4 linked regions of the Oreochromis niloticus genome follow. The protein of the gene in region 2 purifies or fractionates together with the protein of the main gene of each other region. This does not show direct contact. Links are inferred from orthologs where the notes say so. Each region holds a gene or a part of one and is shown on either strand. Other genes may lie near its edges.

Region 1 (7,102 bases), on a different chromosome or scaffold from region 2:
CAGAGGAAAGGAGGCGGTTGAGGAATTTGTTCGGCTCATTTCTTGTCAGGTAAGTGAATTGTTGATAGCAGCGGCTCTTAACTAATTTTCTAGTGTGATCTTCCGCTGTGTATGGGCTTGGTGAGAAAACCAGGCAGTTGACGATATCAGGATATGCAATAGACGGAAGACTCTCCAGGTCGTCATTGATCCAAGACGAAGGAGCCAACTCGTATGGATCTGCACCACCAGTAAACCTTAACTTTTCCAAATATCGTGCCCTTTCCTGCGGACCAAGTCCTTCCCTGTATGCCTTTGCATCTATAATGCATTTTGAGGAGCTTTTCTGTGGTTTCGGACATTGATCCATTGCAGTGTTTACCTCCGAGTGCCTCCGCGCATGCAGGTTACCACCCAGAACGTGACGTAGGTAGGTGAAAACCCTCTATGAAGCGGACCTTGAATAGCTTAGTGGATGCAAAGCTAACATGACCCCACTCTACACCCCCACAAAGTTTCATCAGAGTTCAGCCTTAACTTTTTGGGCTGTCATGTTTACAGACAGAACGAATGACACACACACAGTAAAAACGTAACCTCTTGGTGGAATAATAAATGAGGGCAAAACAGAAGCCATTTTGGCTTAATAACTACATTGACTTTGGCCACACATCCGCTCCTGCCCGTCTCCACCCTGCTCTCAGTCTTGTGGTGTCACCCAAAAACTAAAAGTAATGAGACGGAATTTACAACCTTATAAAAGGCATAAAATGATTGATTTCCATAAAAGGCAATGCTGTCAGGATATTTTTTTGTTTCTTTTGCTTTTATCCATTCATGAAAAAAAATGACCTACTTTAGCTAATGTTCCTGACAATACTTAGAGAACACTATTAGATATACAAGTCTAATATGCAAGTTTAATAGATAAGAAGTCACCATTTAGAGACCATTTCACAGCCTCAGACTGAACACGTATTAGAATCTCATGATGCTGATAATGACATTCATACAAACCTGCAGAAGCGGCCAAATCCTTCAATCACAATCCTCATCTGTCTCCTCTGTCTGGGCTCCGATACGGCATACTTGACGCTCACCGCCACGGGAACACCAACAGAGAGGCCAACGAGCGTCTTCCATAACAAGCCTCTGTGCTTAGCTTCCCTGCAAGATTTAAAACACACACATACAGTCTCATTGCATGCAGACTTGAGCATAGACTGAAGCTCATCTACGGTCCTCAGCTGTCTGCTACCTGAGTGAACTGAAAGATCGCCTTGCTGAGAGGGATGAGGAGCCAGGAAGCGGAGCTCTTCGGAGGAGAGCCAGGTGATGCAGACATAACGTCAACTGAAGAAAAACAAAGCAATGTATGAGTGACCTACAGCACCACTTCCATCTGACACGTCTGACCTCTGTGTTTGCGCAAGTTAAGTGAACGTTAACCAGCCCCGCGAGTTAGGTAAAGGGATTGAGGGCACGAGGACAGACACTGTGTTCTGAGTAACAGCAAGAAAACGTGGGCGCGCGTGTGTGTGTGTGTGTGATAGGAGGCGAGGACGTCTGGTTCAAGGCGAACATGAGCAGCTATACTGACACTTTGTTGTTCTTTGCAGTTTGCTTTCGAGGGACAAAATGTTTCCACTGCAGATAAATTAATTTACACATGGCAGCGGGGTCAGGGACCAGAGCCCTGAAATATCTGAGCAGCCCAACCCCCCTCCTCCCACAGCCAGCTCGCAGGAACACTTGAAGACGATCCACTCCTGCAGCCGTGCGTGTCTCTCCTACTCACACCATTGCTGGAAACAAAGTGTTGAATGTGTCCTCTCATGTCAAAAATGCTTTAAAACACTCCAGTGAACAGCATGCTTTTTAAACACGGCCTTGACATTCAATTTTAATCTCAGATAATATATACAGACGCTAACACACCGGGCCCAATTGCAGCTGGCTAGCAATTAACTTGCTAATTGGAGAGAATTGGGTTAAAAATGTGTAATAAATAAGATTTATTTACCACTTTACAGTTCTCCGCTATCATGTTTCCGAGTTATTAAAACAGACAAGCTCCAAGAGACGTATTAATATTCCTTGTCAGCAGCCACCAGTAAACGCTTTACCTTTCTCCTTCATAAACTGCTAACAGCACACTGGTTTGCTGATGTTTAACCAAAGAGTAACGCAATGCGAGATGGTACCCTCCCACATACTGTAGTTTCCGTTTATTTTTTTGACAGCTCGTTCGGCCGTACAAATAAAAACTACAAGTGAAAAGATTTATTAGTTATTTATTATTTAGATAACTGAAAATAGTCACATTTTCTTATCTGATGTGATTCTTTTAGAAAAAACCTTAATCATTAGATCCATCTTACAACAACACCTCCTGCCTGAAGACACACAAAGGTCCCCCTACCTCACAGAAAGTTTGGTTCCTACACACACTGGACATGTGTGTATTTGAATTATGATTGGCTGCCACGGCCTGGGCTACCTTTGCACTATCTTTGTCTCTTTTGCACTGATACAGTGCCAATGATATGGGACAAAAGTCATGGTGGATGTAATGTGTGGATCATTGAGAAACTTCCTTGTGTAATGCAGATACTTCCCTCCACTGTGTGTGTGTGTTTCTAAAATTAACGAATGTGCAAAGGAAAACTTAATTTAACATCAAACGTTTTGTTAATAACTAGAACCTGTCTTTAGCAAATAGGTCTATTTATTGATGGAAATAGATTGTATAACTTTAACCACACTAGTGCTAAGTCCATCCATCGACCCACTGCATCCACCCACTGACAATGATCTAGGTTAGGTAACAGAAGCCCTCTTGTGTGCAATATACATAATTTTATTTAAAATATAATTTCAGGAATTTCATGAGTTCCTTTAAATTACTAATTTTGCCTCAATGAAAAAAAAGAAGATTCAATTTCATTAACCCCACATATCAGACAATCTTCTCAAAAGCATAACAACTTTCATAAATTTAATAAGAAAAAAAATGTCTATTTCATAATTTGTAGAACATAGTATAAGATTATTTTTAAATACCAAACGTTAACGGAAGTTGCTATAAAATACTTGTGTAAGCTATGTTTTATCGCTGGTATTCCAAGATTATTTCTAGGGCTTTTATTGTGAAATATAAGAAGAAAGGCGTTTTCACACCTGCGTGAAAAAGAAATCGGGTAGTGAAACATCTCGGTTAGTTGAAACGAACACTCTGGAAGGAGGTGCTTAAGTTCTACGTCATTGAACAGTTAGAACAGCGCGAGGTACGTCCTTGTCCTGTAAGGTCATCATCTATCTCCTCTGCTTCCTTCCTTCAGTCCCATCTTCAGCCTGGAAAGTTAAATATTAACATAACTCGAGGGTCGGTGTAATCTATACAATCAAACCTAAGGCTTTCTTAAACTATAACAACCTCCTTCACTTACACCTTAAACATGACTGCATTTGTAAATATCATGCTCTTATTGCAAAACCCCCATGAGACACTTGTGTAGTGTTACTTATATGTTACATCAAGTTGCGTCAGGTAACACCATGTCTGTGCGGGTTCAGGGGCTTTAACGAAAAAGGGAAAAATAAATAAAGATCTTGCACGGTTCGAGTGGATTTTAACACAATATGTAAGCGCTATGTAGGTGATATCTATAATAAGGAGTAGTTAAAATAACCACATTGGTGACTCTAAAAGTTTACGGCAACATTGTGAAAAGCGTCACAAAGAGGCATCTGCCGATAATAACAATCCACGAGTCGTTTTATTTTGAAACCTAAGTAGAAACTGCGTTCAGAGACGATCGAGGGAAGTAGTTTCATTTCCTATTAATCCCACTGTGCACAAACTGACTGTAGATTAGCCAGCGGCACCGCAGAGGGCGCCGGCGAGCTCGTCCTCGATGATCACAAGTGTAAAAGGACCTAAACGGCTAAAACCTGCTTCTAGACAAAAACCCACAAATTACTATTATTATTAATTTTTGCATACCTATAATTTTGACGACCTAAAATATAACAACAGTTACGTCATTTCCTTTATCTTAAAAAAGAAAGAATCGGATTTTCCGAAAACCAAACCTGCAAGTTGATTGGTCAATTTAGGATTCACTAGCTTCGTGCCCAAAATCAAAATGGCAGATGCCGTAAAGTGTCTTATTATTGCGCTGTCACATAAAACGCATTTTAACTACAATCGAACCCCGTAAAATGTTTTTCGAAATTTAACTGAGTCCATTGTCTCACATTCACCTATAAAAACACACGATTAAAGTCCCCAGCATAACATTCTCCACAGAATTTACATTTGGGGGCTTCACGTCCACGGGGATGTATTCATTCTGGACTACCTCGCGAGCGCCCTCTAAGAAAACAGGGATCCAAAGAGTGGGCGTTCTCGGAGACGATAGCAGTTCTCTGGTGTTTTTCGCGAGTGGCTTGCTGTATACCGGATGCTGTAGCGACCCGTGTCGCTGCAGTGTTGCGCTTTCCTGTTTACGGGCGGGAAGAGCGAACGTAGCTGGGACTGTGGAGCTGCTGTGTTTAAATCTGCAGCACATTTGTTTTAATTCTCCTCGATGTTGACGGTTCGCACGTTTTAATGATACACGGGGCTTTGCGAGGTCGAGTGGATACCTTTTAAGCTGTCAGCTTTTCAAAAGTAAGGAGATTTTGTTTTTGGAGAGTGCGGGGCAGATGGAGGATCCTCCTGCAGATTTTGGTGGTGGCGGCGGTGGTGCAGCTGCAGAGGGCCCCGTGGTGCAGGTGGCGGATATCTGCTGGCCAGCCGGGGCTCTCCCTGTCCGGCTTATAGAGTGGAAAGTCAAAGCCGGCTCTCTTGTTAACGTGGACTCCGTGCTAGCACTGTGTGCACCCATACCTCAAGAGAAGGGGACTGATGGTGCCAGGCTGCCAGAGAAGAAGGTGAAATCGGACCGTGCTGGAATAGTGAAGGAGCTATGCAGTCAACTTGGACAAGTCATATCTCCCGGGTGAGTCACCCTGCTTGCTATAGCTCGTTAATGTTAGCTGACCTGTTCCCTGTTTGTGTCAGCTCAGTTTTGTTGCAGCTGTCTTCATGCTCACTGTACCTAAGCTAGCTAACGAGCTAACACTGTTAACCTGACGTTAGCTTGTTTGCTAGCCACGCTCAAAGCAACACAGCGGAGCGTTTGCTCTGACCAGTCAAGTACCGCAAAATAAACAAGCTGGCGTTTCGTCGGGGGCTTTCAAAATAAGAGCATCGTGTTTTATAAATATTATTTTATCTAGCTTTGTCAGGAGTTGTGATTGTGGTGAAAGAGAAAGTTAGAAAACAATTTTATTTGCTATATCAGAATTTTGATTAACATGCAGTAATGATTGAATTTACAAACCTCCGCACTTTTGTTTTGAAGGCGCGACCACGTGGTAGATGCTCTCGTGCTGTTTGCCTTGACGCAGCCACTATCGCGTGCACAAAATTGTGTACAAGCAGTGCAGATTGACAGGTAGAAGAGTGACCCTGGAGGCAGCCGTTATCCTCGTGAGCTTGAACCAGCCGTGTATATGTATGTATGTGTGTGTGTGTGTGTGTGTGTGTGTGTGTATGTGTATATATATATATATATATATATGTACTTTAACGCGTATTAATTCACAGTAACGGGAGACGTGTATCTTAGCAGTTAATTAGTAAAAGAGGAGATTTTGAAGTTCTCTTTAATTGGTTTGACCGGTCTCTTTGTGCTTTATTAAGTATTAGCATCACTTCTTATGCGGAATATATCAAATTTAAAAGAAATGTCCTATTTTTGAAAACTTTACATTTAAATTCGACACCTTTTGATATTAATACACATTCAAAGCTGATATAGTTGTTATTTGCTATTAGGAAAGGGTCGTGCTGCTTTCAGGTACTCTTTGTAAACTCTTGCTCCCGGCTTAGTCTACTGTTAGCTGTTTATAATACTTTAACAGCGTCTTATTATTACAGCTATATAAAGTGAAACACCTAATTAACAGCTTTCTTTATGTTTCTTTATGTACTTGCATGCTACAGTTAATGAGAATCTGTGCACAGTCCCAGGCTTCAGTTTGCAAGCAAGTTAATTGGGTCTTTAATTATTTTCCTGTTTTTTCCTTTTTCCAGGGGCATCATAGTCAGAATAGAAGAATGCAGCCATCCCATCGTCATGAAGGGCTTATGTGCCGAATGTGGTCAAGATCTAACTCAGTAAGTACATGCTTTATCTCTCTTTTTTGTTTGTTTGTCTTTAACTTAAATCTTTGTGTTTTTCTGATCTGCTCAGGCGTTTTCCCCCCAAGAACTTTAATTTCCCCCCTTTTATTGCATAGATATATCTATAAACAATAAAACAAACTAAAATGGAACAGCAAACCCCTCCATATAGGCTCATTTGGGATGGATGTCACGGTTGTGTAATTTCACATGCTGGTGGCAGAAGAAAAAGGGGAAAAAGTGAAAAAAAAAACCAACAGAATGAGTAAACGAAAACTATTCTGAAAACATTGGTCAAAAAATTAAAAAATGTTTTCTTTAAAAAAAGATAGCTGTGACGTTTACCTAACACTGTCAAAACCAAGCAAAATGGCATTGTTGGTAGGCTTTAAATGTGCAAACATGATTAAATGTTATATGATGATAATATCTGTGATATTACATTTATTCAATTGTATGAATGAACTTAAACTTAGCTAAGCATTTGAACCATGTGATATAATTGTTATTACAACGTGATTACAGAGGATGTTTTAGTAGGGAGGCATTTGTAGATCCCGAGAGCCCAGACTTTGTTTTTTCACTTGTTCAACACCATCTGTGTATGGAAGCTCCATAGAACTTATATCTCATAAAGCCTTATTTTATGTCCTTGTCCTCTGGGTAAAGGCAGTATGTCTGTCTCTGTCTGTTTTCTTGGAGCCTGTCCAGCCTGTCATAGGAGTGATAGATGCCAGTCTATCGCAGGGCTAACCCAGAGAGACAGACAATCATTCACACTTAGATTTAACTCTTTGGCCAATTTAGAATCACCAGTTAACTTAATAAACAAAGTGTTTGATCTGTGGGATGAAGCTAATCTACAACACTTACATCAAGATACTTTAA
Region 2 (7,565 bases):
AAGAAAAGGAAGAAGTCAGAATTTTGTAAAAGAGCAATAAAGCCAAAGGTGAGACTGTGACAGACTTTACATTTACCTGTGTGTGGAGAAGGCCAGCCCATTAACTCTGCGGCTGTGAACTTTCTCCACCCGAGATGGCTCCGATCCCAGGAAATCTTTCACAGTCACCCTGCCAAGCTCATCGCCTGAAACACGATCAGAATGTAAGCGAAGTTAACTTTGTCTCAATTAAAGTCAGGTCTTAATCAAATGTGACTCAACAATGTAATGCAGCGTCTTACCAAAAGCAATGGTGCTTCTGTGGTGAGGGTGCCAAGCTAGAGAAGTAGGGGAGCAGCTAGGAGACTCTACATCTGAGGCAAAACAAAAACAGAAACTGAGAATGCGCTTGCCATCTCTCATTACTTACACAGGATATCCTGTACAGCACAGACATATTTCCAAGACAGCCTATAAACGGATTCCAGGAACAACAACACAAAGTCCTTCTTTAATCATCTAGACAAAAATAAAACGCTAGGTAGCTAGTTAGGTAATTATGGAGCACTTCCAAAGTTTTGGAAACACTCTTATTAACTCTTTAAACCTTGAAAGCCTTCTAGAAGTAACCCTTGAAGCTCTTTTGTGAACTAAGAGGTTTCATTATATTTCAGGCCTGCTTATAGAACTAAATGATTGAATCTGCATGTAAGTTAGTGAGGATGGTCTCTGCCTATTCCGCCACACCTGAAAAACCTGAAAACTACTCTAATGTTCATCAAATCACATCTTCATGGGTTTTTAATCCATCATTAAGGGGACAGATGAGGTGTTGTCAAATGTTGTCTTCATGGGGGAAAAGTTAAGGCTCTGGATTTGGGTTGATTACTTTGGTAATGGCTGCATATGTGGAGGAATCAACTCCATTGCAGTTGCAATATTGTCTACCTGCTAGGTATTAGTACATACTCCAACTTTAACACACATACATTTGCAGAGTGAATGACTGCTGCATAGTCTGTGTACTGGCATAAATTTGTAAACACAACTGTTTGTTTTGGAACAAATTTTACTCTCTGTCATAATTCATTTCCTGTGCAGCTTTACCAATTCTAATCTCAACTACTCTTCCAGTAGTGTTTGGCAAAAGTGGTTATCAAAGCTTAGTGAAGTAGCTTACCTATTCTTGATGCAGGTTTGTTGGGCTTCCTCCTGTCCCACAACAAAACACGCCCGTCCTAAGAAGGGATGAGAAGAAGAAGAAGTTGAGTTTATCTGAATGATTGCAGCTCTGCGGTCCAAAAAATAAACCTCTGCGACAAGAATGCAAACAACACGCTGATTAGCATCTTACTTGGCTACAGGAGAGAAACAGAGACTCATCTGTAGGACTGCAGGCAACACAAGTGACTGGTTGTGTGTGCACTGTGGGAAGAAAACAACAAGAACTGTTGAGTTAAACTTTTCATGTCAATGATGTTTATGACATTTTAATATAAAACTTTCCTTCAGCAATACATCGTTCCAAAGAGTCAATAGGAATATGACACTGGGATAGTCTGGTAATATCAGCAATAGAAACAAAAAACCTTGGTAAATTAATTAATCTAAAATCTATACATCCAGGAATGCTACAAAAAATAAACATTTTTTACTTTTATTTTTCCACATTATGGAAAAAAAAAAGCATTTTTATAAGTTTTGTGCATTTCTATATGAAGAAATGTTAAGATGACGCTTACCATTGTAGGTAGTGACAACCATTTCCTGACTTAGATCCCAGACTTTAATTCTGTAATAATAAGCAAAGATGCACTTTAAGGGATGACAAGGGCAACTCAAAAATTAAGTAAGCCAAAGTTTGAAACAAAAGCAATTAACATTGCTTCTGCGCTGTTGTGACAGGTGGAATGGTGTATGTATGTCCATGTAAAACAAGTCTAACCTGCAGTCCATGCTGCCAGTGACTGCAGCGGTTGCTCCAACCATGGGGCTTACTGTAGTGACAATATGGTCATGATCATTCTTGGTAAAGCGATTAACCAGTAGACGTTCATCCTCTGCTAGTTCCCAGAGCTCCAAGGCACCTGCACAGACAAATGAGACCAGTCTCATACAAGCCTCAAGTGTGTGCTTGATTCACCTGCCATAAAAACATTTCATTACCTGAATCTGAGGCAACAATAATTCCTTTCTCTGACACCCATTTGACATCTGTGACACCAGCCTCAGTCTGCACACCAGCTTTACAGAATCCCTCACTGGGGGCCTGGTCAGGGTCGCTGTAGATCCAAACAGATCCCTGCCAGCTTCTGCCAGAGAGGCTGGAGGCACCAAGTAGCAGGGTGCCATCTGTGGAGAAAGCCCAACGAGAAAACCTTTCAAACGTCTATATTTTCATTCATCGCCTGCCAGAAAAGTTTAGTCTGACTGGTATTCAACAGAAAATGTTATTTCTTTAACATTTTGTTGGATGTAAACATAAGAGAGTCAACGTAGGATTTCAACAGTTTAGCACAAATGTAAACACACTAATTATAACCAACTAGCGGCACCACGTGTTTACACGTTAACTTCAGCTAGCGCTCCTTTCCCCTACCTGCTCTGTATTGTGCCGCGCACAGGTGCCTCTCCATGCACGCAGGAGCATTGGGGGGTATGTCCCACCGGTTTTCCTTGATCATCCTAGTATCCACTGAACTATTCATCCAGAAATCGCACTTTAAATGTTGATGAGATTTCCTAAACTTCTACAACACAACTCCTGCGTTAGCTAGCTAGTGCTACTGCAGAAATGATGCAGGTTTTGTCTTTAGTTTATTTCTTTTGAAAATATTATTATTATTACTATCAATAATAGCACACAGTCGGTTGCTAAAAACACGATTAAGCCCGTAATGCATGAAAAACGAGTCCGTATATTTTTCGTTTCACGAATGAATGACCGAGAGCAGCGCAACACATGGAACTGCTAGCAAACGCTTCCTGTCCGGTTTCTTCTTCTTCTCTTTTTTTGGCAGCATGCATAGTACCAGACGTGTTACTGCCCTCTGCAGTATTATTTAGCTTATGGGGCCTCTTCAAAGGTTTAATGTAGTAATGTAATGTAGTACTGCCACCTGGAGTTACTATAGCTTTGTATTTTCACATCATGTTTTTATGTTTTTTTAAAAATTGTATTTCGTTTTAACTTTTTGCTTTGAACACTGTTTAGTTTCAGTTAACTTCCAGAGTGCATTTTCTCATTTAGTTTTAGTTTTTGTTCATTTCAGTGTTAGTTTTAGACTTAAAAAAGAAAATTGTATTTATGGCAAATGACAGAGGCAACATTTAGGAAAATCAATAGAGATATTACAATATCAACAGGACTTTTTGAAAGTGGTTGACTCACAGTCTTGTAGACATCCAAAGCCTCAACAAACAAGTTCACCAAAGCCTCATCATGCAGTTAGTGATAACAAATTTTACCAAAATAATACAATACTAACAATAATACATCATAACAATACCAAACTAGGGGTGTTTTCACTATCATTTAATTTCATTGTAGTTATTTTTCCAAGTTTACAGAATCACTTCAGATAGTTTACATTTTTTTAAACTAACTACTATGGAAGCTTCTTTCTGCCTTACAAACTCAAACATCCAAGAAAATAATTAGAAATCGCGAGTTATGTCATTTTTTTCTCCCAGTGGCAGAAAGAAACTTCCATAAGTTTTAGCATAATTTCAACCAGTACTTTGATGTGACTGCCTATGTCAGTTAGTTAGTATGTCAGTTACAGACAAATCAGTCCAGGAGTTATTAATCTTGGAGTATCTTGTCTTTCATTACAGTCTTTTCATTCTAGCTACAGATACCAACTTCTAAATTTACAATTTGGCAGATAGCCTAATTTTGATGTTTATTCCACTTTTGTAATGTTTCCTCCTTGTGCCGGGTCAACAGGAACATCTAAGCTAACTGAACTGCTTTAAGGCCCTTCAGCTTTTCATTACACCATCTGCTTTTGATCATAAAGATAAAATAAACCTGGTCACACACTGCCTTTTGTAGATGGCATTGCATCTGCTGATAATTTCTAGAGAAACTTAAGGTATTATTATTATTATTGTTAATAATAATAATAATAATAATAATAATAATAATATCACTTATTATTTCTATTACTTAAAACATTATTACTGTATTATAATTTATTACAGAACAAGCACTGTTTTTTACCAGTTAATATGAATGTAACACTATTTGCGCTTTTGAAAAATAAAGCAAGCATATACGTTACATTTAAATACACTTTAAATCATTAAAAAATTCATCATTAGCAACTAAAATATTCACCTGATGATGAAACGAGATCCAAAGACAGAGGACCACAAAAGTTACACCAGTATTCCTGAAGGGGTATCTGTCTACCACAATGCATCCAATAGTTGAGATTCTTCATTTCTAAATACCACAGTAGAAGAATTGAGAATAACTACTTTATTGTCACTCAACAAGATCAATGTTCATAGTAGTGAATCTCTCAGTAAAAGGATTTAAAGCTGGGTGACAGGTTTCCCCAGTGTCCTCTTATTGCCTAAGAAATCTGATATTGTCCTTTCTTCTGGGGCTTTGGAAGATAAATTCTGTGCCTCAAGTCATTTCTGACTATGGCATGACCATTTGGCCAACTACCTTCAGAACTTAATTTGATGTATAAATTACGTTATAGATAACTTATAAATGATTCATTCTGCCACGTGTCTATGTTTTCCATTTTTTTTCCAGGTCTTCAGGATTGGGAGGACATCAAACCCCCTTCTGCTATTTCTAGAAATTCCCATGTCTTCCTAGATCTTATTCTTTTTTGTCATCTCTTATCAAATAAGACTCGGGCTGGAGGTGGAAAAGCTGAAGATGCTATGATTTTTATTGGGAGTGACCACAATTGACAGCTCAGGCTGAGCAGTTTTAAGAGAAAGGTAGAGAGGCAAGGCTGGGAAGGTCTGGACATTCTCAAGAGGGACAGCGGAGATACTGGACAAAAGATGTTAAATATGTAGCTGCCATTCATGGATTTAGTGAAGGAGAACATGCAGAGGCTTGGTTGTCAAAGAGAACGCTAGGGATAGGGTGAGGTGGTGCCTTCACTGTGGTGACCACTAAAGGTTGCAGCCAAAAGAGGAAAAAAACATTATTGATATATTTCAAAGCATTTTTAAACCTTATGCGCATACTGCAAAACCTTAAAAGAAGAAGAAGAAAAAGACATGACGCAACATTATGGATGCAATTGGAGGTACAGCCGGTGATCTACTACTCAGAAGGTTGGTGGTTCAATCCCTGGCTGCTCCAGTCTGCATGCCAAATATCCACGGGCCAGATTCTAACTCCAAGTTACCGTTTAGGTAAGTCTGACAGCTCAATAGGTTTTTTGAGTTACAAAAAAGAGGTTTAATGGCGCAGTAAAAGTTGGTAAAATCATTTTGAACTAACCGGAAGTCCATTTGCGCTCCTTTTCATGTCCAGTTTGACCCTGTTTATTTACAATTCTGGCATTGGATAGTTTATATATACTAACGTAGTCCCTATTACGCCAACTGCTTATCGAACAAACCCCACAGTAAAGTGACAAGAGAAGAAAAGTAATTCCAATAATGTAAATGCGCACTTATAACTACGTCAAATCAATCTGCACTTTTATTGTGAAGGTAGGAAAACGGAAATGAAGGTTACATTGGCGAAAACGTTACAGTTCTGTCCCCCTGTCTAAAATCGATAAGTGATTGGCTTACTTGATGGTTAAGATTTTGTGGGTGTATTGCCGTGTTCACAAAAGGTAAGCACACAGCCATGTCAAGTGGCAAAACGTGTGTGTGTGTTTTTTTCCTCACACAAGTGTCGTCGGTGCACATAACGGTAGCTTTGTAACGTTAGTCGTCGTTACAGTGATGCCTTTGTCTCGGCTTTAACCCACCAGGTAACGTTAAGGCTAACCGTTAACTGTAGCTAAGGCTAGCTGCTCCGAGGTGTGTACCTGTCCACGCTGAGTGACAGACACTCAGGTGGGTGGATAGCTGCCGTTCTGCATGCTAGGCTGCTGATGTGTGCACACTGGACTGCAGCCTGTGCGCAGCTGCTGGGGAGCATTAAGGGAGAGCTGTTAACATTCTTGGCGAGTCAGACCTCCAGACATACCAGCATCATTGCCGCGCACTAAGAGAAATGTCATTCGAGGTGAAAGCAGTGAGCTGCTGGCACTGTAGCAATTAACAACGTAAAATAAGGTACTTAAAACCTACTGGGAGAGCAGAGGGTTTGTTTATTAAAAAAAAAAAAAAAAAGCCTTCATTTTCCTATTTTTTTTCTCCCGAAAGTATAAGTCAAATAACTTTAAGTTCATCATTTTAAATTAAAGCTCCAACGTGCCTTTATGGTCCTCCTTACACTGTACACTATGCCAATACTATATTTTTTTATTACAGTTATTGACATTTCTGTGTTTAGGCCTATTGTTTGATATCACATATGTATGAGGATCACTACTGTTTACTCTGTAAATAAGTAAAGTTAGTTTTAGATGTAGACTAAGTTTTGTACTAGTACTGCATTTCTACACGGGATATAGTAGCCAAACATCTGCATTACGTTTACTGAGAGCAGTGGCCAATGTTCACCTATTATGCCGGATAAATCCTACTTTGCTTATTTCACAAAGAGGTATGAATGACAACAATAACACTGATCATGTGCTACTTTGTCATTTTACACATCAGCGTTGGTACAAGAGTTAACAGCTGGAGCATCCTCACTTTCTGTACATTAAAGAATATTCCTGTGTAATGTAAAAATGTCATATTTATTATAAAAGTAACCATAAGAATACAACAATGTGTGTATTTCACAATCCACACTTTAAATGGCTATGTATGTATTAAAAAAATTTAAGCCACGGGCTATATTGACTTGGAGTGCGGTATTTTAGAGATGGTTTTGGATTCATCTACAGCCTGGTTTGCATGTTCTCCCTGCAACAGTGTGGGTTTCTTCTGGGTACACAGTGTAAACACAGTCGGTAGTTTTAAATGGGTTTGAATGCCAGGTACATAATGGGTATCAAGTACACCCTACGTGAAACTAACTTCTTTATTAGGTAAACCTGTCTAAGTCCTTGTTAATATAACTAATATTTAATCAGCAAATCACATGCGAATGCAATTTATTCAACAATGCAAAGACCAAGTATATGTAGTCGGGATGACCGGCTGAAGTTCAAACCGTGCATCAGAATTGGGTGAAAAAAGGTGATTTAATCACTTTGAACATGTTTCTTGGTGCAAGACGGGCTATTTCAGAAACTGCTGATCTACTGGGATTTTCCCACACAGCCATCTCTAGAGGTTTGCAGAGAATGATCCGAAAAAGGAAAAATATCCAGTGAAGGGCAGTTCTCTGGATAAAAATGCCTCGTTGATGCCAGAGGTTAGAGGAGAATGGCTAGACTGCTTTGAGCTGATAGGAAGGGAACAATAACTCAAATAACCACTCATTACAACCAAGGTATGGAGAAGAGCATCTCTGAATGCAAATCATGTTGATA
Region 3 (7,563 bases), on a different chromosome or scaffold from region 2:
TACAAGTATATATATAATGTAAACCAACAGACAGGATTGGCATGAGGTGCATACTGAATCTACAAAAGCTTGTGATGACATCACAGCAGAGTCCTGCAGAGGATGGATTCGCCACTCCAGGAGATACTTTCCTCGCTGCATTGCGAGGGATAACATCTGTTGTGATGTAGATGAAAATATGTGGCCAGACAGACAGGAACGTCTGGATGTGCCAGAATGATTTACTGTACTGTTACATGTGCTGTTTATTGTTCACATTAGTGCACAGCTCTACCAAATGGGTGATTTTATGTTTACATGTATTCTACAGTGAACAAGTGACTGTAGCATATTTTTCTTTTGCACAATTCTGTAGGATTACAAACACTTCTACACAATGGAAATGTGAAACGTACGTATTCAGTGTCTCAGTTACTCCCAAGACTCCCATAACATCTACAGTGACTTCACTGCACATTTCAGATGGCTGTACAGGTAGGCCATAGTGCTGTCGTCAGCATTTTCAGGTGTCACCAATTGTTTTTGCAATGGGAAACACTGAAATTATAAACTGTCATAGTGGAAACATGACAATGCCATTTGACTATCTTGTTCATACAGATGGTGTCAAGACTTTTCATTTTGATGGCACTGGCAGTTTCATTGACATGGATACTTGCTTTTGCGGTATGGATAATCAATTCTGTGCATGTGACGTGCTTTTGCAGGCTATCCACTAGGTTTTGCAGTTTGCACTAATTGTTTTGGGAAATGCACTAACTGCTGTGCAAATGTTGATGGTGTTCTGAGAAACGCACCAAAGCGACTGAGAAAAACTGTAAGGTCACACTATACCAAATAGTATTTAAATTTTTATGTCCTGGGAAATAAGTTTCTGAAATTATTTCTAAAGATCAATCAAACTGAATCTAGTGATTTGTTTAATCAAACAGAACATGTTAGACAGAAGTTAAAGATTTGAAAATACTTTTCTTACATATAAACAATTTTGTCCCTAAATAGCAATTCAGTCCTGATATTTATGGCTAAGTAGACTTTTCTGTTGTTGTTTATGTACACATATGAAAGGTCTCACCTTTTACCACTTTTTAAAAGGTCAAAGGCCTTATTGATTTGAACCAGCGGGAGCTTCTCCGTAATAAACTCATCCAGTTTCAACTTGTGATTCATGTAGTCATCCACCAGTTTAGGCACATCCTTCACACTCTTCCACCCTTTAGAAAAAGTTAACAAGCTCAACTTGTAAACATGTTTTCATGTAATATGAATTGCACTGTTGTAAGACCGTCCTGTGGTCACATTCACAGCCAATTCGCTGCACATCAGATGTGAGTTTGATGTGCTCATAGTACATGAAACATATGTAAATTTATTGTTACAAATTGTAAAAGTGATTATATAGTTTATGTAGGATATACCTAACTGTCTGTCCTCACTGAACTTCTTATATACGTTTTGAACTCAGGAACCAAAAACTGTTGGTTATTTTGACAGAAATTTAGATGATTCATCGATTGTTTAATTTATTAACTGAGCACAACTCAAGACTTTTTACGTATTCTCATTTTTCTGTGGGTTATTAAATCGTACTTCAATAATATTTAGGTTCAGGAATGTTGATCAGAGAAAACAAGCAATGATTGTTTTGAATGCTTTACCTAAAAAAAATTAATAAAATAAAATTATATTACAACCAAAGCAGTTGTAATATAATTTTTAACACATTTTAACTATTAATAATCCAATAGCAAAGTTTTTTACCCCAACATGACATTACATTTTGCCCTGGCGGACAACATTAGGGACAGTTTTTCAGGATGATACACTCAATTTTATGTTCATCACTCAAATCTACATTTACACCAGAAATGCAATTAAATAATCTAATATGTATGGTAATTTTTGTTTACTTCACCTCCAAAATAAGTGCCCTTTAAGGTACGTCCCATGAGAAGCTTTTCAACTGAAATGCTCATTGTTTCTGTCTCTGTCCATCCAGCAATGACACAAGTACCCCAGGCATCTCTTGTGGACTCAAGTGCAGCATTCTATGGTGACAGAAGCAGTTGCTTAACTAATTATCATTTTGTATTTGTATCATTATCTAACTCTTTCACTTGTGTCACTTTTTGCAAAAGAGATCAAATCTAGGTTAACAAAGAAGACATTGTACAGTGTACTCTAATTATAGTCACAAGACTTAATTTGCATTGACACAATTGCATGCCAAATTTCAAATGAGGCACCCACCATGATAGCTGGACTTCCAACACACTCCAGCGCATAGTCCACACCTCCACCCGTCATCTCCACCACAACCTCTTGGATAGGCTTGCTGTAATCTCTTGGGTTTATACAGTCTGTCGCTCCAAACTGTCGGGCTTTCTCAAACTTGTCAGGGTTGATGTCAACCCCGATGATCCTTCTCGCAATGGCAACCTTGCAACCCATGACGGCAGCCAGCCCAACAGCTCCAAGCCCAAAAACGGCACACGAGGAATCTTTTTCAACCTGAATGCACAAAAGTTGGAAGCCAGTCAGCTAATAGTTCTTAAAGATCATTTCAGCGTTTTCACAGATAATTTTTACAGCAAATATAACATTTAGAGTACATTCCTTTAAACACATACATGAGATATTATCAGGTCTGTGAATCTTGATTAAAACTATGTCTAAATAAATAACCCATGCAAGGATTTCCACGCATTTTTAGTTGGTTTCTTTTTAGTAATGGAGTACAAAAGTGTCCTGATTTTGTCATTTTATTTATGTTAATGTGTGTGGACCTACTTTTGGCTGCTCCCTTATTCACAACGGGTCACCTCAGTGACTTTGGCGATTTTTAAAGCAGATTCCTTTCCACATGCAGCCAACACAGGAACATGTATTTCACATGTTATACAAATGTGTAAACCATTGCACTATGGAACTATTTTACATTATTTGAATTTGTGTAAAGTAGTTGACATGTACACCTTATCCAGAAAACTTAGTGGCACTCGTGTCATTTCTGCCCTCTAGTGTTGATATTAAATGACTACAGTCTTGCAGCATATTGTAAACATAAAAAAGCAAAAAACTTCCAGATACAAATATCACTATTTTTTCTTTTTTTTTTTGGTTAAAATATCCTTGGCTGTTTATATATTGTCATGTTCATCAATATATCTTTTGAAATTTGTTGCTTCGTCACATCTGTTCTAAGAGTATTAGTTTGAACCTTTCGAATTCAGTTTTCTAACCTTGCCTGCATTAATAGCAGCTCCATAACCAGTGGAGACACCACATCCAAGCAGACAGACTTTGTCTAGCGGTGCATCGCTTCTTATCTTTGCAACCGAAGTGTCAGGGACCACAGTGTATTGAGAGAAAGAACTGACTCCAAGGAACTGGTAAACCTGCTGTCCCTTGCAAGATATCCTGCTAGTCCCATCAGCCAAAACTCCAGCTTGCATATTTGTCCTAAAAGACACATAGAACAGTATTTACGTGAACACATTTTAAGTAATAGAGTAAACGTGGTTGTCTCAAAAATGGGGAAATAAAATCACCAGTTTTTCTTGCAATGATTTGTTTTTGGACTTAGACAGCGTTCACATTCCCCACAGTATGGCAGAAAAAGAGGAATAACTTTGTCTCCTGCGAAAACAACGAAACAATTATGTAAGTCTGAGAAGAAAAAAAAAAGAGAAATAAGATTCATAACAAATGTCATCTGACTGGTTGTGGTACACTTTACCCGGGGAGACTCTAGTGACTTCTGGACCAATGCTCTCCACTATGCCAGCTGCCTCGTGACCAAGTACTAAAGGGAATGGTCTGAATTTCATCCCTTTTCCAGTCTCAAACAGGTATTCCCAGTCTGTGTGGCACACACCCGTGGCAACAACCTGTACAAACCAAATGATGTGCCAAATGATGTGACAGTTTCAGGAAGTGGAAGTAGTCTGTGGTTAACAGTCACACTAACAGGAAATAAAATAATCATATGTAAATCATACTTATTGTTGTATTGCTGACAAATTTGAGCTGTGCCCAACCTTAATTCGGACTTCATGAGCTTTAGGTGGTGCCACCTCCACTTCTTCAATACAAAGAGGCTTCCCGGGCTCCCACGCAACAGCTGCCTTGCATGTGATCACCTAAAGGGGAAAAAAACCCAAACCAAAACAAATATGTTTCCAAAGATGAGTGACTGTGTTTGGGCGCAGTTACAGATGCAAACAAACAATGAACACTCTCCATGACAGAAAACTTTAGAATGAAAAGCAGAACCCCCAAAAGCAACAGTAGCTGTTTATAAGACAAACAGTAAAAAAGAAAAAAAAAAGCTTAAAAACAACTTTTTTCTTACCTTTCCATCTGTTGCCATTGTTGGCAGATGATGTCTTCATATAAAACAGCCTGTATTTGAACAAAAAATTTAAATAAAGGAATAATTAAATCTGCACTTGTCACCAAAACAGCTTCGAGTTACATTATATCAACATTTGAGTGGGTAAAGTTGAACTGACCGAGTCAAACAGCAGACAGGTTGCGCCCTCTTCTAATTCTAGTTTTTCTTCAATGGTTTAGCTCTGTCAGCGCATTTACGACACTTTCCGAGACCGCCCCTTGCCTTTACGGCACGTTATGGTCACACGTGTTGTAGTCGCATGGAAGTTGGCACAGCGGTCTGAAGTCTAGGCAGTCGGTCAAATTTGTGAGTAATTGTCTTTATCTGTGCAAAATCCGAGTTGCGCACTTTTTCGGTGTGTATATTTTTTCAACGACTACGTATCGTGTTGGTTTATGTTAGAAAACTCCGATGGATTTTCGTACTTTTAATAACTGAGTTGTGCTAACGTAAGCTAACCACTTCAGCTAGCATAAGCAATAGCTTCCAAGTCAGCATAGTTTGCCCGAATCATGGGCAGGCTAATTCATTCATAAGTGTTTAGCTTCAAGCATGAACTCACGTGAGCTGTGTCGTCTTTGTGTTTTTATAATTTCTTATTTACAGTGCATTTGAGGAGAATGTCTTTCAGAGGAGGAGGACGAGGTGGTGGAAGAGGTGGAGGTTTCAACCGAGGTGGTGGAGGATTTGGACGAGGTGGAGGAGGATTCGGTGGAGGCAGAGGTGGTGGAGGATTTGGACGGGGTGGTGGAGGATTTGGACGGGGTGGTGGAAGAGGGGGTTTTAACAGACAGCAAGATTATGGACCTCCTGAGTATGTTGTTGGTAAGCCCAGAGCTCACAAAACGCTAAACCGAGTGTTTCTTTATACACATGTGAAGCTAACCTTTTACCACAGCTTCGCGTGAATTCTCAGACAATGAGATGCAAGCAAACCGTCTTGATATTGCCAAAAAACTGACTCTGTAATATTACCATTACACAGTTATGGGGAAGTGGTGTGGCTGAGTAGGTAGGCTGTGACAATTTTGTCCTCATCAAAGATGGAGACTATCCCAAGGATATGGAAAACAAGACCTGTGTCCTGTTGCTCTTCTTGGTGCATTGTACTGTAAAGTCACCACGAACTAGTCTGTGCAGTCACAAAAAAACAAACAAACAAACAACAAAAAAGAAAGGCAGGCATGCAGATGTCCACACACACCATCTTGCCTGAATCTATGTAAAGGCCATGTAACCTATGTAAGATGACATTATCGTGCCAGCATTTACCATGTTAATTACTTTTGTGGTAGAGTCCTGGCAGTTTACATGTGGTGCCAGTCACGATAGAAACAAACAAAATACCAGAAAGTTTTTTTCCCCTTCTGGCTTGCCACTCTTTGCTTTGTCATTTTTATATTTGTTCCTCTAGTATTTCCACATCTTTGTACATTTCCCTAGTGTCCATTCCAATAGTTTTGACAATCTCCTTCTAGGAATTTGCTGCCATTTGTGAGTCCGTATTATGGTTTTTATTCCTTTAACAGATCCTTATATTATTATTCTGTCATTGATAAATTCTAGCACTGCATCAAAAAAGTAGCCAGAAATGCATAGGCGAAATCAACGGTATTCAACAGGCCAATCATGGTAGTAGTGGCAGTGTTGATGTGACATGTAATTATATTTCTATGTAGGTGCATATCAGTTTATCAGGGTAGGTTACATTATAGGGTTTCTCAGCGTCTGCTATGTACACTATTGCCCACTGAAGCATAAATTTCCAGTCAGTGTTAGCAGGCAACTCTAAAACAACGGTGGACCTTTGGGTGTGTGTGAATGGAGAACTTCAGTAAATATTCTATGTGACAAGAGTATGAAGTTAATACACCGTGTGTCACCTACATGAGGAATTCAAGATCCAGTTCATGTTAATTAACTTTAACTACATGTTTCCAAGTTGTCCTAAATACACCAGAAAACAATTATATTTCAAAGATGTTAAATAATATTAGTAATAGTATTATTAATATAATAGTAGTGGTGGTGGTGGTGGTGGTAGTAGTAGTAGTAAGAATAGTAATAATAAAATGAGCAATATGTAAGTGTTTAAATTCAAACTGCATTACAGACAAAAGATCAATCTTTTATATATTTAATGATCATCCCACAAAATGTGAATATAACATGCTGTACCAGGAGTTAGGTTGCCATCTAATATATTTTAAGTCCACATTGTAATATTGTTAAAGATGTATCTGTGTTTCTACTCATTGGGCTGTTCAGAAACAGATTTTTTTTCCAACTTATTTGATCTTTTTGTTTTTATATGTTTATATTCTAGTGCCTCAAAGTTTCTGTTTTAGCATATATTCTGGGTCACTTCCTTTAACCCCCATTTATTCCCCTGGCCTCCAAAGAATTTCAGACGTACAGAAACCTTGTGCTAGATGCCCATAAAGTGAACTGCAGAGCAGTCAAGCATATGCTGACTTATTATAACCAGACAGAAATTTAAATTGGTTGTCAGTCATGGTATTGCACGTCTTAAACTTTAACTGTTTCATTGTCTTCACACCCTTCACAGCACTGGGAGAGTTCATGCATCCATGTGAAGATGACATTGTCTGCAAGTGCACAACAGAGGAAAACAAGGTTCCCTATTTCAATGCCCCAGTGTACTTGGAAAACAAGGAGCAGATTGGGAAGGTGGATGAGATATTTGGCCAACTCAGAGACTTTGTATCCTTTCTATTGTCTTTGTTTTTCTCCAAACCTTTGATTGAACTGGTGGTGGGGATCTGTTTGACATTGTCAGTGTTCTTGTTGCTTCCTTAACCCATCTTTGCAGTATTTCTCAGTAAAACTTTCTGAAAATATGAAGGCGTCTTCATTCAAGAAACTACAAAAGGTACCAAAAATGTCTCAAAGTTTTCTAGTGATTAATTTAATACCTCAGATTTCTAACCAAAATGTTGGCTTTTAGTTTTATATAGATCCAATGAAGCTACTACCACTGCAGAGATTCCTCCCGAGGCCACCAGGAGAAAAGGGGCCTCCAAGAGGAGGCAGAGGAGGGGGTAGAGGTGGAGGAAGGGGTGGTGGTCGTGGAGGTAAGATGGCATTCTCATTTTAATTTAATCTTCTGGCTAAGTGTTTAGAATAGATAACAAAACAGACATTTG
Region 4 (7,099 bases), on a different chromosome or scaffold from region 2:
GAGACAGATAAGAAGGAAGGACAGGAGAGGAAGAAGACAGCTTAGAGTTAAAGGAAGGACGCTCATTTAAAGCTCACATGGAAGTCCTCATGGTTTTAAATCTGTCACATTGTGTTTGTTCATAAACCTGCTGCTAATCAAACTGAGGCAGACTGACTGTGTTATTTAAAGGCTGCATGAGAATCCTCTGCAGGATGAACAGGTGAGTTTGCTGCACTGTGATTGGTTTACAGTAGAGTCTGTGACTGCTGCACAGTGGCTGTGGGTTCATGCTCACAGTTAGCTTACAGCAAGTGTATGGAGGGCCAGGAGTACCAAAAACAATTAAATAGCCCATTAAATAATTAATTGAATGTTTAAGTAATGAATTAAAATGGAAAGAAATATGACTCAAGAATATGAGTTTTACATCTGCTCACATCTGGATGAATCCAGGTGTGTACATCCACAGAGAGCAGCAGGTCAGCTGATCACAGCCTGCACACTAAGAAACTCTACTGGAGCTCTCAGTGGAAATGACTGAGTCTTTTCCCCACACTCAGACATTACAGCTGATTTAAAGGTTCCTCCACCTGCTGAATCCACGTTAACCTCTGACTGTACACGTTCCTGTTTGGAGACAAAGTCACCTTCTACAATGGAGGCAACAGGAAATAGAGACTTGTTTTTATTTCTATGCTTTTTATTCTGATTCAAGCTGAGAACAATTAGAATAAACAAAGATAGACTAAAGTTTGTATTCCCATCTATCTATCATTTTATAATTATGTTAATGTAGCACAAGGTTCAGTTAGCTTTCCACAGAAATAGTCCTCCAAAGAACTACTCATCTCCTCCGTTAGCCCTTCTGTTACCTCCTCTGTTAGTCTCTGTGTTACCTCCTCTGTTATCTCCTCTGTTAGCTCCTCTGTTAGCCCCCCTGTTATCTCCTCTGTTAGCCCCCCTGTTATCTCCTCTGTTAGCTCCTCTGTTAGCCCCCCTGTTATCTCCTCTGTTAGCCCCCCTGTTAGTCCCTCTGTTACCTCCTCTGTTAGCCCCCCTGTTATCTCCTCTGTTAGCCCCCCTGTTGGCTCCTCTGTTACCTCCTCTGTTAGCCCCTCGGTTAGCTCCTCTGTTAGTCCCTCTGTAAGCTCCTCTGTTAGTCCCTCTGTAAGCTCCTCTGTTAGTCCCTCTGTAAGCTCCTCTGTTAGTCCCTCTGTAAGCTCCTCTGTTAGTCCCTCTGTAAGCTCCTCTGTTAGTCCCTCTGTTAGCTCCTCTGTTAGTCCCTCTGTTATCTCCTCTGTTAGCCCCTCTGTTGGCTCCTCTGTTACCTCCTCTGTTAGCCCCTCGGTTAGCTCCTCTGTTAGTCCCTCTGTAAGCTCCTCTGTTAGTCCCTCTGTAAGCTCCTCTGTTAGTCCCTCTGTAAGCTCCTCTGTTAGTCCCTCTGTTATCTCCTCTGTTAGCCCTCTGTTGGCTCCTCTGTTACCTCCTCTGTTAGCCCCTCGGTTAGCTCCTCTGTTAGTCCCTCTGTTAGCTCCTCTGTTAGTCCCTCTGTTAGCTCCTCTGTTAGTCCCTCTGTTATCTCCTCTGTTAGCCCCTCTGTTGGCTCCTCTGTTACCTCCTCTGTTAGCCCCTCGGTTAGCTCCTCTGTTAGTCCCTCTGTAAACTCCTCTGTTAGTCCCTCTGTAAGCTCCTCTGTTAGTCCCTCTGTAAGCTCCTCTGTTAGTCCCTCTGTTATCTCCTCTGTTAGCCCCTCTGTTGGCTCCTCTGTTACCTCCTCTGTTAGCCCCTCGGTTAGCTCCTCTGTTAGTCCCTCTGTTAGCTCCTCTGTTAGTCCCTCTGTTAGCTCCTCTGTTAGTCCCTCTGTAAGCTCCTCTGTTAGTCCCTCTGTTAGCTCCTCTGTTAGTCCCTCTGTAAGCTCCTCTGTTAGTCCCTCTGTAAGCTCCTCTGTTAGTCCCTCTGTTAGCTCCTCTGTTGCATAATCAGGTGTTCAACACATACATCATCCATCCTTCCATCTTTTAGACCTGGAAGACTCTGTTGGTTCTTTGACCTCTACTCACTTCCTGTCTCACCTGCAAGCCACCCGCTGCCTGGTTGTATCTTTTGGCCAGATCTGCTGCTGAGCTCCAGGCCCACTCATCCTCATCATCCACATCCTCCTCCTCACTGAAATCCTGCTGCTCTGATGAAGGCAGTGCATCACTGATGCGAGTCAGCTCCACTGACCTGACACTGCAGAACAAAAAAACAAAAGAACAAACAACAAAAACACAGTCAGAGCTGCTGAAATCTCTGTGAAAGTTACTCATACAGCAAACAAGATGTAATGATAAGGGAGGAGGCAGCCCTGGTGCCCCGATGGTCAGGAGGGCAGAGGCCTGAGCTGTGAACTGGTCCCCTCTGTGGAGCTATCAGAGCTCCTCTGTGGGTTAAAGTCGTGGTTCTGTTCTTGTGGCCTGAAGCCTGCTGATTGTATTTATGTAGTAAATATGATGAGCTGAATTTTACCTGACCTGAAACAAGAAGCCCTGATGGCGAGAGGCTGGTTTGTGTATGGGACTGAAACACCGACAGCACGGCCATGGAGACTTACACTGAGAGTGTGTGTGTGTGTGTGTGTAAGGTGACGTCAGTAAACATGACAGAAAAGCTCACACATGAAAGCATCAGCTGCTGCTTCACAGCACAGAAACCCAGGTTACACCTGAGGTTACCTGGACAAGACTGAATCCTGCTATGGAGTGCAGGCCTTAGGTGACCTGTTACCATGGTGATTTAGCCAGGTACAGCCTCACTGTTTACACCGCAGCATCAAAACAAACGAACGAACTCACCTGTCCTCCTCCGCGTCATCAAACTGCCCAGGTACACACGCCGGCTCCGCCATGACGTCAAAGCCTCTCACACAGGTAAACACAGGTAAGCGCTGAACCTTCGAGACCGATTGTGCTGCGCCGCTCCTCGTGTTTGCTCCACTTCCGGGTTCGACCACGTGACTACGGAGAGCGGCGCGGGTCGGAGGATGACGTCACATCACATCCACCGATCCGTCTCTCTCTCTCTCTCTCTCTCTCTCTCTCTCTCTCACACACACACACACACACACACACACACACACACACAAACGCCCCATTCACCCAACAGCCGGAATATCCTCCAAAATAAAAACAACGAACACTTCCGGTTCGCTACCGGGAGCTTTTAAACTGAAAAGCCGCGGCCGGAAACACGTGTAGTTAGCTCGCAGCCGAAGAAGATGACGTCCTCGGAGCTGGACCGGACTCCGCGGACTCTGTTGGTGTCGGAGAGCTCCAGCTTCTTGGACCCGAAGAACCGGATCAGCGCGCAGGTGCAGCAGTTGCACTTCAACCACCAGGTGACGCTCTCACCCTTCACCTCTGACCTTTCACCTCCGAGCCGTTAGCTTCACAGCGTCGGGCTCACGGACGGCTTCATGTAAATTTAAAGTCGTGTTTGATCGAGTGCAAGGAGAGCAGTCACGAGTGGAGCAGTGCTGAGTATGCGGGTGGAGCAGCAGGGCTCAGTGTGCGAGTGGTTCTGTGGATGACCGTTCAGAGCATTGAGGTGGAAGGATTGCGTGTTCAGAGGTGAGTCAGCAGTCGCCCCCACAGAGCGGCTTTACCAGAGACTAACTTCAGGATTTGGGAGTGGAGAGTATGGATCTGCAGTCCTGACCTCAACCCCACCCAGCACCCGTGGGAGCTGCTCTGAGAGGTCAAACCTCTCAAATCTTTCACATCTCAGAACACCGCCGTCACTCCTAAAACTTCCCCCCGTTTCTTAACAACTAGATGCCACGTTGCCATATCATTTTTTTGATTGGTCGACACGGTACTTTTTTCGACTAATAGGAAAGGGTGGGGGGTTTTTTGGTTTTGTTTTTGCTCACAGGCTGAGAGTGCTTTCGAGCGTTTTCCTTATAAAACGCCGTTTTTACCGTTTCTTCCGGCAGTAAATATAAACAACGATAGTATTCAGGAAGAAAACCAAACATTGCAGATATTTTTATCATAACTCTGGTTTTACGTGGCCGATCAACACAATTTAAAAACTGGTATAAAGTCCACACTTTGTCCGTCAATTGTTCCGTCTGTCCTGCTCACATCCATAGCTGGACTGGCCATCGGGCATACCTATGGGCTCAAAATGTGGTCATAAATATTTTGTACTTGTAAATCAGTTTTGTATGTGTAAAAAGAATTTGTGCGTGCGTAAAAAAGATTTGTGCGTGTGTAAAAAAAGATTTGTATGTGTAAAAAAGATTTGTGTGTGTAAAAAGAATTTGTGTGTGGACTTAGCCAAAAACCCCCCTGCAAGTTACAAGTACGAATTTTGACCCTATTTTTCTTCCTGTCATCTGATTGGTCAATGTCATGTCAATCACAAATGTAACAATCCAATCAGAGAACAGATGGGTTTGGCTGTCGGAGGGGCACTTTTTTGAACTGCAGGTCCTTGAAGGGAATAAATGCCCTTTTACATGCCAACCCAGCGTTTTCCTTCATCACCACAAAGGAAAACAGTCTGTGGTCATCCGAGTTTGGTGATTTTTGTGTCACAGGTCTACGTGCTTTATACAGGGACTTCCACAGCCTTTTCAACAGCGCTGCGGACCGGGGGGGCAGTGTTTTGGAAATGACAGTCTTCATTACAAAGCTTTCTTCGTTATGAATTAGCATACATGTTTTTATTGAACATTTGAAGAACTAGCAAAAAAACCAAACTCTTGTAGAGGACATAAAGTCAGAGACAGAAACGACAAGGAGCAGGTGCATCTAGTACAGGTAGAGCTGCTGCAAAAACCCACAGAGCTCAGCAGCCAGCGCAACAAATTCTGGATCCTTTGCTTTTAGTTAGCAGTTAGCATTAGCAGCACATCCTGCGTCCGATGTGAAAGGACCTTTATGCTGCGCACTGTGACTCACAGCAATGGTCCCGGGTCAGCCCTGACTTTGTGTTAAACTAATCCTAAAGTAATAATGGTATTTCTAACCACTGACATACCACAACTTTATCCTTTCAACAGCTGCTGAAAGTTAGGGGACCTAGCTGCTATCGGATATTTATATAGAGATCCTCCAGCTTCAAACTGTATTACCCTTCAAGGACCTGCAGTTCAAAAAAGTGCCCCTCCGACAGCCAAACCCATCTGTTCTCTGATTGGATTGTTACATTTGTGATTGACATGACATTGACCAATCAGATGACAGGAAGAAAAATAGGGTCAAAATTCGTACTTGTAACTTGCAGGGGGGTTTTTGGCTAAGTCCACACACAAATCTTTTTTACACATACAAATCTTTTTTACGCACGCACAAATTCTTTTTACACATACAAATCTTTTTTACACACAAACAAATCTTTTTTGCACATACAAATCTTTTTTACGCACGCACAAATTCTTTTTACACATACAAAACTGATTTACAAGTACAAAATATTTATGACCACATTTTGAGCCCATACATACCGGGCATTTTCCCGGTGGGCCGCTCGTGATTTTTCGTTTTTATGGGCCGATGGGGTTTTATTTCTTTTATTTTTTCAACGGTATAAATGAATAGTGGTGTATTGGCCAGTTGGTCATGATCGACTCTGGGCTGGACCAATTACAGCCGAGGAGGTCGAACTTTAAAGTTGAGGTGAAAAGCAACGCGATTTGTCCCGATCAGCTGATCAATGATCAATGATCAGCTGATCGGCTTTTCTCTCTGCGTCAGAAAGAGCAAACCAGCGGAGGTCGCGTTAAACAACAGAAGCACCTTTAAACTTGATGAGCTGTTGTTAGAATTTATTTAATATTAATTTCTAGTATCAGCTGATGTTTGCTGGAGGGATGAAGGGTTGAAGGGAAGTTATGAACTGTTTCTGGGAGACAAATAACACCAGGATCCTTTTCTAGCTGACAGCTGGTAACTGTGCAGGGGCGGGTCTAGCAAAGTTTTGCCAGGGGGCCAGGTAGGGCATTAACAGGGAAAGGGGGGCACAAAAAATACGTTTCTTTCTTATTCTCATTTGAAATTTCTAGCTTTTAACAAATAATTATCTGAGTCATACAACCAAAGTTTTCATCTGATGTCAAATGTATAGAAATCCATTATTGTACATAGTAATTTTTTTCAGGGTCCCAACATAATTTCTTCAGAAGTAAGTACTGTATATGATGCCAGTATTTTCCCACATTTTCTAGATACTGTACCAGTACTGTGTGTAAAATACCATCAAAATTAAGTTTTGATGGTAAGTTTTGAGTGAGGAAGTTTTATTCTTTCTCACCTTTCTTTCTGTCTCCTTTCACTTTTTAAAGGTTGCCATGTTACAAAAATATTTTGCCCTGCCATGCTGTTTATTGATGTGGTAAATAAATAGTTTATGAAAATATCACTAAATCTGTCATTTATTATTTTTAATATTCAGTAATGGTCATGTCTCACCTCTAGGCTTCTCTGTCTTAATTTCAAGTTTCCACCATATGTTGTAGAAAGTTCAGGAGGTAAACCAAGCAGTCTTTGGGTTTCGGCTAAGTACTGTTTAGAATACCAGAATAGGGAGGATGGTGTAGGTTTAAGTTCTAGATTGATACATATATACCAACAAGACAGTGTACATCACTGTCACAACGACGTTTGTTTTCATTCAAAGGCTCTCTAGTTTTTCCCATAATACCTGGTGGGCCGGTCTCTAGTCAAAATGCCCGGGCTAATTTTTTGTCCCAGTCCAGCCCTGCTCACATCTCCAATGGTTGTACACGTTGTCATTAACGTGGCTTCACTGCACATCAGCCACGCCGCTTTGCTAGCTAAAACACCGGTGTCGGCACATAAGGACGCTGTCATAGCCTGTCAGCGACGTTGATTGGCTGCGTATATACGAATGTGAATCGCATTATTGGCTGGACTATAGGATAAGGTGGCATCGTTCTAATCCCATACAGGAGCAGCCAGTCACTCACTGACTAACACTGCAAAACAGAATTGTTAAAGTTTTAATATTAATTTCAATTCGGGTTAGATTTTTTTTGTGCGCAACGCAGATTTTCTGTGCGCAGAGACCGTGCCAGCAGTGCGCAATTGCGCACGTGCGCAGCTTAGAGGGA

What was found.
Region 1: the proteins of wdr77 (region 2) and ctdp1 fractionate together in Homo sapiens (co-fractionation; 3 studies listed by BioGRID and IntAct, with this or other methods). This does not show direct contact. The link is inferred for Oreochromis niloticus from reciprocal best matches to the Homo sapiens genes WDR77 and CTDP1.
Region 3: the proteins of wdr77 (region 2) and gar1 purify together in Homo sapiens (affinity purification with mass spectrometry; 3 studies listed by BioGRID and IntAct, with this or other methods). This does not show direct contact. The link is inferred for Oreochromis niloticus from reciprocal best matches to the Homo sapiens genes WDR77 and GAR1.
Region 4: the proteins of wdr77 (region 2) and riok1 purify together in Homo sapiens (affinity purification with mass spectrometry; 5 studies listed by BioGRID and IntAct, with this or other methods). This does not show direct contact. The link is inferred for Oreochromis niloticus from reciprocal best matches to the Homo sapiens genes WDR77 and RIOK1.

Annotation. Positions count from the first base shown.
Region 1 is NC_031985.2:31,525,257-31,532,358, reverse strand, and holds the start of ctdp1 (RNA polymerase II subunit A C-terminal domain phosphatase), read left to right. Parts: upstream 1-4,095; 5' UTR 4,096-4,689; coding exon 4,690-4,985; intron 4,986-6,124; coding exon 6,125-6,208; intron 6,209-7,102. Other genes in the region: adck5 (putative aarF domain-containing protein kinase 5), read right to left, coding at 997-1,146, 1,238-1,332, 2,003-2,026. UniProt on the Homo sapiens protein: Processively dephosphorylates 'Ser-2' and 'Ser-5' of the heptad repeats YSPTSPS in the C-terminal domain of the largest RNA polymerase II subunit. This promotes the activity of RNA polymerase II.
Region 2 is NC_031970.2:22,062,856-22,070,420, forward strand, and holds the start of wdr77 (methylosome protein WDR77), read right to left. Parts: upstream 3,015-7,565; 5' UTR 2,688-3,014; coding exon 2,579-2,687; intron 2,332-2,578; coding exon 2,146-2,331; intron 2,067-2,145; coding exon 1,925-2,066; intron 1,772-1,924; coding exon 1,722-1,771; intron 1,405-1,721; coding exon 1,334-1,404; intron 1,218-1,333; coding exon 1,160-1,217; intron 354-1,159; coding exon 282-353; intron 186-281; coding exon 77-185; intron 1-76. UniProt on the Homo sapiens protein: Non-catalytic component of the methylosome complex, composed of PRMT5, WDR77 and CLNS1A, which modifies specific arginines to dimethylarginines in several spliceosomal Sm proteins and histones.
Region 3 is NC_031966.2:13,611,129-13,618,691, forward strand, and holds the start of gar1 (H/ACA ribonucleoprotein complex subunit 1), read left to right. Parts: upstream 1-4,562; 5' UTR 4,563-4,702; intron 4,703-5,002; 5' UTR 5,003-5,016; coding exon 5,017-5,221; intron 5,222-6,965; coding exon 6,966-7,120; intron 7,121-7,229; coding exon 7,230-7,289; intron 7,290-7,364; coding exon 7,365-7,491; intron 7,492-7,563. Other genes in the region: alcohol dehydrogenase class-3, read right to left, coding at 1,076-1,214, 1,916-2,048, 2,251-2,511, 3,243-3,462, 3,552-3,639, 3,740-3,890, 4,041-4,142, 4,355-4,372. UniProt on the Homo sapiens protein: Required for ribosome biogenesis and telomere maintenance. Part of the H/ACA small nucleolar ribonucleoprotein (H/ACA snoRNP) complex, which catalyzes pseudouridylation of rRNA.
Region 4 is NC_031982.2:34,663,976-34,671,074, reverse strand, and holds the start of riok1 (serine/threonine-protein kinase RIO1), read right to left. Parts: upstream 3,019-7,099; 5' UTR 2,870-3,018; coding exon 2,817-2,869; intron 2,215-2,816; coding exon 2,043-2,214; intron 1-2,042. Other genes in the region: rpp40 (ribonuclease P protein subunit p40), read left to right, coding at 3,239-3,358. UniProt on the Homo sapiens protein: Involved in the final steps of cytoplasmic maturation of the 40S ribosomal subunit. Involved in processing of 18S-E pre-rRNA to the mature 18S rRNA. Required for the recycling of NOB1 and PNO1 from the late 40S precursor.